Cricetulus griseus: one gene and its partner. The protein of the gene in region 2 purifies or fractionates together with the protein of the main gene of each other region. This does not show direct contact. Links are inferred from orthologs where the notes say so. Each region holds a gene or a part of one and is shown on either strand. Other genes may lie near its edges.

Region 1 (5,024 bases), about 110 Mb from region 2:
GTCAGAGCTAGAGGTCAGATGGATATGAGAAACTTAATCAATGAGTGTCTAACTATCCTTGACTGATGGATCATCCTTCCTGCATTCAGATGTATGATTACAGCTTAGACATGTGGAGCTTGGGCTGCATGTTAGCGAGCATGATATTCCGAAAGGAGCCATTCTTCCATGGGCAGGACAACTATGACCAGGTGAGCAGATTCATCCCTTGCTTGTTTGTCATGAATGTTAGGGAAATAGCCTCTGGGGACTGTGTAAGCTAAAGGATTGTTCAGAATTGTATGAGTGAGCATGAGGGCCCCAAGCATGCCGAGACAGACAATGCTGCCTAGTGAACTTTCAAGATGGGTCTAAGAAGTAAGGCACTTCTTTATCTAACAAAATCACATTATAGTTATTTGATCAGTGTCCCCAAAGATGTTAGCATCTAAGTTATATCAACCCTTTAAAAGCAGTTTAGGGGGCTGGAGAGATGGCTCAGAGGTTAAGAGCACTGACTGATCTTCCAGAGGTCCTGAGTTCAATTTCCAGCAACCACATGGTGGCTCACAACCATCGGTTATGAGATCTGGTGCCCTCTTCTGGCCTGCAGGGATATATGCAGGCTGAACACTATATACATAATAATTTTTTTTTTTTTTTTTAAAGCAGTTTAGAAACTTGCATTCATGTGAGTGTTGTGTTCTTAAGTCTCTGTTTATCCTAGACTCGGGTCTCTGTTAAGTCATTTGGGATTTGAGTGGCATGGGATTTCCTGATTCCCAGGCCTAGCACAGTGTCCACAAAAGCTCACAGAAAGCACTGTGCTTGGTGGTTGGGTCAGTTTTGTTCTGTGTTTCAGCTTGTTCGAATTGCCAAGGTTCTGGGGACAGATGAGCTGTATGGATATCTGAAGAAGTACCACATAGACCTAGATCCACACTTCAATGATATCTTGGGACAGTAAGTAAGAAAGGAGAGGGAGGGAGGGAGAGAAGGAGAAAGGAAAGAAGGAAGCACTTTGCTCTACTTCAGAAGTGGTAAAGTTAGACAACATCCAGTTTCCCTTTTCTAACTTCAATATTGATATTTATTTACTTATTTATTGAATGAACCAGGGTCTCAGTGGCTATGTAGATCAGGGCTAGTTTTGAACTCACCGGGATCTACCTGCCTTGGCCTCCCAAATGGTACGACTCCTATTTATCAGTAGAAAATGGAAAATAAGCCTTGTGTAGATATGCATGTTTCTAATCACAACACTTGGGAGGCTGCAGCAGGAGAATCAAGAGTTTGATCCTGTGGAAGCAAATGGAAAATAAAGTCATAATGTTATAGAAAAAATGTTTATTTGGTCAAAGCTTGTGCTTTTTCAAAAGAAATTATTTCTTCTTGTTTTATATGTAAGCCTGTTTTACCTGTGTGCACATAATGTACTGTGTGTGTATGCTTAGCCAGAAAAGGGGTCCTCTGGAAGTAGAGTTACAGATAGTTAATAGCTACCATGTGGGTGCTGGGAACTGAACCTGGGTTCACTGGGAAAGCAGCCAGTGCTCTTAACTACTGAGCCATCTCCCTAGCCCTGCATATGCTTATTTTGATGGCAAATCTTAGAAAACGAGGCTTCTTCAAATAAGTGAATAGCTTATTTTCTGAAGTTTTATAATAAATATTAAGGCATGCTAAATTTTCAGGTACAGTACCTAGTTTCGTGACTTAGGTATTTTGGGGTGGGGATGGTCTTATTTGTTTGCTGTGTAGCCTCCTGGCCTCAACCTGAGTGCTCAATTATAGGTGTGTGCCACCATGTCCAGCCTCAGTGCAGTGTGTTAAAAGTAAATGTTTGGCTAGTGGTCTTCAGGCATTATTTTATGAAATTGCTTGTTTCTAAAGCCAACCTTCTAAATATATCTACTGACCAGTGCATCACTTAGTCACCGCCAGGCCTTACTCACGGTTGATTAAAAGACAGGCATAAGAGTAATCCAGAAAGATTGAACAATTCTCCCTCAGATATAGATATTTTCAATAGATTCTGCTCATCTAATAATTGAGCAGTTTTATGTCATGGTTATAACTGTGGGTGACAGTGTGTGTATACTAGCCCATTTGAAGTGGGCACCGATAAGAATGAGCTTCAGCTGTTGCACGAAGTGCAGTATTCTAAGGGTTTGTTTATGTTATGTCTATTAAAGGAGGGTTTATCTGGTTGTTTAGTCTCAGAATACTAATATTCACTTTGTTTGTTTTTGTTTTTTAGACATTCACGGAAGCGCTGGGAAAACTTTATCCATAGTGAAAACAGACACCTTGTCAGTCCTGAGGCCCTAGATCTTCTTGACAAGCTCCTGCGGTACGACCATCAACAGAGACTGACTGCCAAAGAGGCCATGGAGCACCCGTACTTCTGTGAGTTATTAAATGGCAAAAGATGTCACCTTTATCTTTGGGGTCAGACAGAAAACTAGGTATTTGGATTTAGATCAGCCTAGGAATTTGGCTTTAAATTTTATTCATTTTACTGGACCACTGAGGCCATTTTATGGGTGATTTGATTAGTTCTCGAAGGTGTTTGCTGTTCAATGTTAGTAGTACCTCTGAGGCCAGGCTGTATAACCCACTGTCATCACCCTGGGCTTGTATACTGAAAGGTATCTAAGATTTTTTTTTCAAGTGCAAAAACCTAATCAAAGATTATTTTTTCTCTTTTAAAAAAAATTTAGGGGGGGTGGAGGAGGAGGGATGGGGGTGAGGGAAAGGGAGAAGGGATTGACATATGAAACAAGCTTGTTTCTAATTTGAACCAATTAATAATAATAATAATAATAATAATAATAATAATAATATTTAGTTAAAAGTAGTAAGATCAGGTCGGGTGGTGGTGGCAGCACACACCTTTAATCCCAGCACTCAGGAGGCAGAGGCAGGCAGATCTCTGTGATTTTGAGGCCAGACTGGTCTACAGAGTGAGTTCCGGGACAGCCAGGGCTACACAGAGAAACCCTGTCTTGAAAAACAAAACAAAGTAGTAAGATCATTGCTTTTTTAATGTGATTCTAAAGGAAGCAACATGTAAGCAAGAGGAATTGCAGGTAAGCAGGTAGCAGGTATGGCAGCTGGATTCTGACCTGTGACATCTCTCGGAGCATATGTGTTCCTTCTGCACTTGCTTGTGTTTTGGGTCCATGTAGTGTTCTTCCCACTGAAAGTCTCCTAGACACATCACCCTTGTCATTGACAGAAGAGGGTGGCTTAGTCTAGTCATGGAAGAAGTTGAATGTGACTTATCTTCATTTCTGTTCCTTAAAGTTTTTGTCTGTTGTTTGACCACTTTTTCCTTTGGAGTTTACTAATTCCCAGTAATATTAACAGATAGGAAGGACTTATTGCCATGATCTTAAACTTTAGGCAGAAGTTTAAGGCAACAAAAAAATGTAAAGGGTCTTCTCATTTAGCCTTCTGGACCCTAAACAGCTGACATTCCATTGTTTGCTTTCTAATTTCCAACACAGAAAGCTGCTTTTATCCTTCAAGATAGGCCACTTTAGGATATTGGTGTTGCCCTGAGTGGTGGTCCACTCCTTTAAACCAAGTACTCAGAGGCAAAGTTAGTCAGATCTTTGTGAGTCTAAGGCCAGCTTGGGATACATAGTAAGACTGTATCTTAAAAACAACAACAACAACAAACAAACAAACAAAATAGCCAGGCGGTGGTGATGCATACCTTTAATTCCAGGATTGGGAAGGCAGAGGCAAGTGGATCCCTGAGTTCAAATTGTCCAGCCTGAACTACAGAGTGAGTTCCATGATAGCCTAGGCTACACAGAGAAACCCTGTCTCAAAAAACAAGCAAGCAAGCTAGCAAACAAACAAAACCAAAATAAAAAGCAGTACTGGTGTAAACTCATGAGGCAAATGTGTAAGGATTGCAAATTTAAGACCATCTAAGGTATATAGTTAGGCCCTGCCTCAGGAATAATAATAAAAACAACCTGATAGATATTTTAGATAATCATTGTTTGTTTACTTCCCTAAATAAACTCCATATTTCACTGCTGCTTAAAATGGCTGGGGTTTTGTTTGTTTGTTTTCTTTTTTCTTGGGGGGGGGGCGTGTCCCAGACAGGGTTTCTCTATGGCTTCGGAGGCTGTCCTGAAACTAGTTCTTGTAGATCCGCCTGCCTCTGCCTCCCAAGTGCTGGAACTAAAGGCCTGCGCCACCACCTCCCAGTTGTCAATGGCTTTTTTATTCACCCTTGTTTATGACATGCTAGGTATGATGTTGGTACTCAGAAATCACCAGAAATATTGTGAATTTTGAACAGTGGTGAGTTGGGGTCTCTGCTTTTTAGCAGTAGGGTCTGTATTCTAAGGAAGTAGAAAAAAATCAACTCTATATAATTCCTCAGTGGGCATGAGGGCCACCCTGGCCTATGCTGGAGGCTAAGGCTAAAGAAGAATGAGAGTTCAGTGCTAGTCTGAGCAACAAAAAAAATTTTCAGAAGGAGTTGAGGATGTGACTTAGTTGATTGCCTAGCATGTGTGAGACTGGGTTCTATTCCCTGCCTTGAGGGCAAAAAGAAAAGGAGTTCTTTCCTGGTCATGTCTTGGTGCCTGGTTCTTGTGTGGCCTGAGTTCCATGTAAGTGTCTGTCTTGGTGCATATAGAAGAGGAAAGGCAGGTTAGCCATGGCATTCCCACTACACCCTCAGTGCTGGTGCTGACATGGAGACCTGTGCTCCTCCTCTCTTGCAGACCCTGTGGTGAAGGAGCAGTCCCAGCCTTGTGCAGAGAACACCGTGCTTTCCAGTGGCCTCAGCGCAGCACGATGAAGCCTGGGGAATCGACGGTAATGCGGCACTGATGCTTGCCAATAAAACCAACCAACCAAACAAAAACTTGAAGGAAACTGCAGTGTGATAAAAAGAAATTCTAATCATTCCTTCTAAAGGCAAAGAAGAGTAAAGACCTAAAGCCTGTCAAAAGCAAGAAACTCCCCAGTACTAGTCTGCAGGGAGCTGCGCTGTACAGTGTGGCAGTGCACAT
Region 2 (5,024 bases):
AGCTTATCAGAATCCTAGAATGAAGAATCACAGGAGCACCTTGGAGGTTGGGTTTAGACTAAAGCATAAGTCTTTTAACAATTAACTTCTGTTTTTAGAGACTGTGCCTGCAGAAATGTCCAGAGCGCTTGTCTTCCAGTCTCTAGGGGTACTCTCTGTTTGGACCATGAATGTAGTCATTGTTGTCTTCAGCACTTGGTTACCATGGGTTTTTTTGGATTTATGTAATTTATATGATGGTTCTAAAAGTCTGGTCTACTCAGAGTAATGGAACCCATCCTTGTTATTTGGATCCTCCTCCCCCCAGGAGCACATTACTTTAAAATGTTACCGGTTTATTTATCTGATTAAAAATCCAAGCCTTCAATCCTAGCACTGGGAAGCAGAGCCAGGCACATCTCTCTGAGTTCTAGGACAGCCTCCAAAGCTACACAGAGAAACCTGTGGGGGAGGGGCGGGGAGAGGATCCAAGCCAAGTCAGTGCTTGTAGCCCAGGCTGCAAACAAGTTGGTACATGTCTGTAATTCTAGTGTTCTGCAGGTGAAGGCAGGAGGATTAAGAGTTCAAGGTCATTTTACACTGCACAGTAAGAACATGTCGCAAAAAATGGTAGCAGATAGAGATGCTAGCTAACAAGCCTGATTTTAATCTCCAGATCCCACATGGTAGAAAGAAAGAACCAATTCCTTCAAATTGTCCTCTGACTTCTATAACACATGAACAAATAAAATTTTAAAGGTGGGGGGGGGTTGTGTTTGAAGGAAAATGGTCCCCAAAGGGAGTGGCACTATTAGGAGGTGTGGCCTTGCTGGAGAAGGTGTGGTCTTGTTGGAGGAAGTGTGTCACTATGGGGTTTGAGCTTTGAGGTCTCCTATGCTCAAGCTACTCCCAGTGAAACAGTCCACTTCCTGTTGCCTTCTGATCAAGGTGTAGCCAGCACCATGTCTGCCTGCACACAACCATACTTCCTGCCATGATGATAATGGACTAAACCTCTCAGACTGTAAGCTGCCTCCTCAATTTTAATGTTTTCCTTTGTAATAGTTACCATGGTCATGGTGTTTCTTCACAGCAATAGAAAACCTAACAAGACAAGGGTGCTGGGAAGATGGCTGAGTAAAGTTAAGAAAGAGCCCTTGTTGCTTTGCAGGAGATCTGAGATTGGTTCCCAGAATTCACATGACTGCTCATAACTGCCTGTTACTCCAGTTCTAGGGATCCAACGCCGTCTTCTGAGTGCCTGGGTATCACACGCATCTGTGCACATGCAGACAAAGCAGATGGACATACATAAAATGAAGAGAATCTTCCAAAATAACTTTTTTTAAGCAAGGCATGTACCGACATTGAGAAGCTAGGTAGAAGAATTGCCATGAATTCCAGACCAGCTACAGGCTGAGATAATTGTTAATGCAAAAGTAACTAGGGACTGGAGAGGTGGCTTTGCAGTTAAGGTCACTGACTGTTCTTCCAGAGAACTTGGGTTTAATTCCAGACCCACATGGCAGCTCACAACTTTCTATAACTCCATTTTCAGGAGACCCAATACCCTCACACAGACATACTCTCAGGTAAAACAACAATGCACATAAAATAAAAATAAATTAATTTAAAATCTTAAAAGAAAGGAAAAGAAGTCTTTGAAAGAAAACAGTAAATAAATTTAAGTTAAAAATAGAGAGCCACACATATAGTACTTGTGAAGCGGTGGTAGGAAGATTAAGAATTCAAGGTTATCTGTAAAATCGGGGCGCTAAGAAATGGCTCAACTGAAGAGAAGTGCTTGTTACTGTCCAAAAGGACCTGAGTTCAGTTCCCAGTACCCACATTGGACAGCTCATAGCTAACTATAACTCCAGTTCCAGGGGTTCTAAGGCCCACTTTACTCCTTCGTGGTCACCTACATTGTGTGCACACATGTGTGAACACACACACACACACACACTGTGTATTGTATGTAAAATTCAAGCCAGCACACAATCCTGAGGTGCCCAGATCCTCTCCCTAGCTTACTGGGCTTTCCCCCACCAGACCTGGAGGACCTGCTTACCTGGTCAGGAAGGGCCCTGCAGATACTGAATCATAGACATTGAATGTTGTCTTTTTAGGGAAACGGAAGAAAGTCCTGGGAAGAAAGAAAATCCGGTCCAGGTCATCTGTGAAAAGTAAGAGTGGGGGTACAAGAGCTAAGAAACGGCAGCACCGTGTGAGGAAGACAAAAGGGAGGAAGCTGAAGGTGGGCTATTTCAGTAGTGTCCAGTTTAACAGTCTAGCTCCCCTATATGGCTCTGCAGCAGGAAGCAACAGAATGGCTGTTTTTCTGTTGCTCTGTGGAACAGTTCAGAGGTGGGTGGGTATGTTTCTAGGTCCTTTGGGGTGGGGAGTTGTGTATGATGGCTGGAAGCTCATGCCTTTAATCCCAGTATTCAGGAGGCAGAGGCAGGTGGGTTTCTGTGAATTCAAGGAGTTCCAGGACAGGTTCCAAGGATACACAAGAGAAACCCTGTCTTGGAACACACACACACACACACACACACACACACACACACCCCACCCACCCCACCCCACCCACCCACCCCACCCCGCAAAAAGAAAAGTTATATATGATGACCCCTGAAATATAGAGGCAGAGAGGGAAGACTGCAAAGCTCAAGGGCCGAGTCACCTAGTAGTTCCTCGCTGGTGAGATCAAAAAGCTCTCACTCCTATTCTAGGGGCAGGTGTGGACAGACTGAGTTGAAGTCCTCAGAGCACATAGCCTGGACTTATTTCAGTTGCTGTGTCCTCACTCAGCCCTGCTGCCATGAGACAAATTTGGTAAAGACACAGGAAGCTGAGGAAAAAAAAAAAAAAAAACCCTTAGCCATGTGTTTCCTGTGTTTTTATGTGAATTTATGCTTGTTAGCCCATTGCCTGATAAATGTTCTGTAGAGTATGGTTGTATATAAAGACATGCATAGACAGTAGTTTGAACATGTGTTCTGTTTTTGTTTTGTTTTCCAGACAGGGTTTCTCTGTGGCTTTGGAGCCTATCCTGGAACTAGCTATTGTAGGCCAGGCTGGTCTCGAACTCACAGATCCACCTGCCTCTGCCTCCTGAGTGCTGGGATTAAAGGTGTGCGCCACCACCGCCCAGCTGAACATGTGTTCTGAAGAGTCAGAACAGATTCTTGTGGCTGTGACTAAATAGGAGAAAGTTAAGTAGATAGTGTTGGTCACTAGCCCTCACTTTGTGTCCTGAGGTGAGGGCCTGGCAATGTCGGTGCTTTCTTCCTAATTTTTAGGAAATTCTAGAATGTTGTAGATTCCATCCTGAGCTCACGTTCTTCATCTGCAATTACTGTGATTCCTTTTTCTCCCCTAATAGAACATCTGGGGCCATGCCCAAGGTAGAGGTATGGAAAGAATCACTCCTTGGGGAGAAGTCCTAGCTGAAGGTGGTGTTCTGTTCCACCCAAGCTCAGAATCTAGGGGAAGTGGCATGTGGCCCCTTGATTGTCTTAGGAATAGTTTACTGTTGTGATACTGTTAAAAGTTCACAACTGTTCTTGTGTGGCTGTTCATGTGCAGGATGCCAGTCATTTATTGAAATTTTATCTGTCACTTTAATTTAGAATGAAGTCACATCTCGTTCTCGCATCGCACGAACACTAGGCCTCCGCAGGCCTGTCCATGGCACCAGCATGCCCTCAGTGTACAAGCCAGTGGACCCCACTCTGGGGCTGATGAGGGCAGATATTGGAGCAGCTTCTCTGTCTCTGTTTGGAGATCCCTATGAGCTGGACCCCTTTGACAGGTAACTGCAGTGGTGACTCCCAGTGTCCCAGCTCATCCTCCGATTTGTTTAGGCTGCATGGGAACTGATAGAATGGTCTGTTTTGTCAGTGTTCCCTCCAGCAACGAGGAACCATCTGTAGATCCACCTTCCCCTCTAAGTGCTAAGAGGAGAGTGCTGTCCCGCTCAGCCCTGCAGTCTCACCAGCCTGTGGCCAGACCTGTCGCCATGGGGCTCTCTAGGTATGGTATGGGGCAGCAGAAGCATCTGGGGTGGGTAAGGACACTGAATTGCTTATCCTTTCTGTGTGCCCTGTAGTGAAGTGGCTGAGCAACTCCTCTTGCGGATGTGTTTGAGGTTGGCTCTGGGTGCTACCTCAAAGCTAGTTGTCTCAGAGTCAAGTAGCACAGCTACAGGCCACATTGGCCGCAGTCTCTGAGAGAGAAGGGGTCCTTGGGCAGGACAGGAGTCTTGGTTACCAACAGGTGGAGATACTCTCCTGCCCACTCTTGCTTAGTGGTAGAGTGGGCGACATACATTATAGGTGACTTTGGCACACACCTGGTGCCTTCGTGTCGGGGCTGGTGGGTAGGAATTCCAGCCAGAGGAATGCAGAGAGACTAAGCTAGCAGAACCACTCTCTGGTCTGTGTCTATAGGAGGCAGCTCCCTGCTGTGGCCCCAGAGCCCAGCGTGGAGGAGGCCCCAGTTCCTGACCTGTTGGGGAGCATCTTGTCCGGCCAGAGCCTCCTGATGATGAGCAGTGCTGACGTTGTTATCCACCGGGATGGCTCTCTCAGTGCCAAGAGGGCAGGTGAGCACCCATGGGCTTGCTGCCCTTCCTTATGGATTTGGAAATGTGAAATCACAGTCCTAGAAATGGATGAGTTGGACAGGCTCTCAGGCTTTGCCCTGAGTTGGGGACAACACTGTTAAAAGCATAACCATTGTGAGTTTCTGTCAGGGTCCTTCCATGCCTGAGTATAATTAGGTGAGTGTGGCATTTCCAGGACAGTTTTCACAGATACTTAGTGCCCAGTGCCCTATGAGCCAGCATGGTCAAGAGTGGGCAGTGCCTCCATCTGCAGCTTCTTGTCTGTGTCACACTAGATGGGACCCATTTGAAGATGGTCATGTCTGAAAAGAGAGAGACTACATGGCAGCGAGGGCATTTGTCTTCCCACAGGATGGGCAGAGGTACATCTGCCCATGTCACTCCCGTTGTGGGGTGGCAAGAAGTGTCCACTCTG

The links.
Region 1: the proteins of Phrf1 (region 2) and Csnk2a2 purify together in Homo sapiens (affinity purification with mass spectrometry; 3 studies listed by BioGRID and IntAct, counting the BioPlex papers as one, with this or other methods). This does not show direct contact. The link is inferred for Cricetulus griseus from reciprocal best matches to the Homo sapiens genes PHRF1 and CSNK2A2.

Annotation. Positions count from the first base shown.
Region 1 is NC_048596.1:171,639,595-171,644,618, reverse strand, and holds part of Csnk2a2 (casein kinase II subunit alpha'), read left to right. Parts: intron 1-89; coding exon 90-191; intron 192-841; coding exon 842-942; intron 943-2,239; coding exon 2,240-2,388; intron 2,389-4,733; coding exon 4,734-4,810; 3' UTR 4,811-4,827; exon of another isoform or gene 4,828-5,024.
Region 2 is NC_048596.1:59,929,645-59,934,668, reverse strand, and holds part of Phrf1 (PHD and RING finger domain-containing protein 1), read left to right. Parts: intron 1-2,108; coding exon 2,109-2,236; intron 2,237-3,614; coding exon 3,615-3,796; intron 3,797-3,885; coding exon 3,886-4,017; intron 4,018-4,433; coding exon 4,434-4,588; intron 4,589-5,024.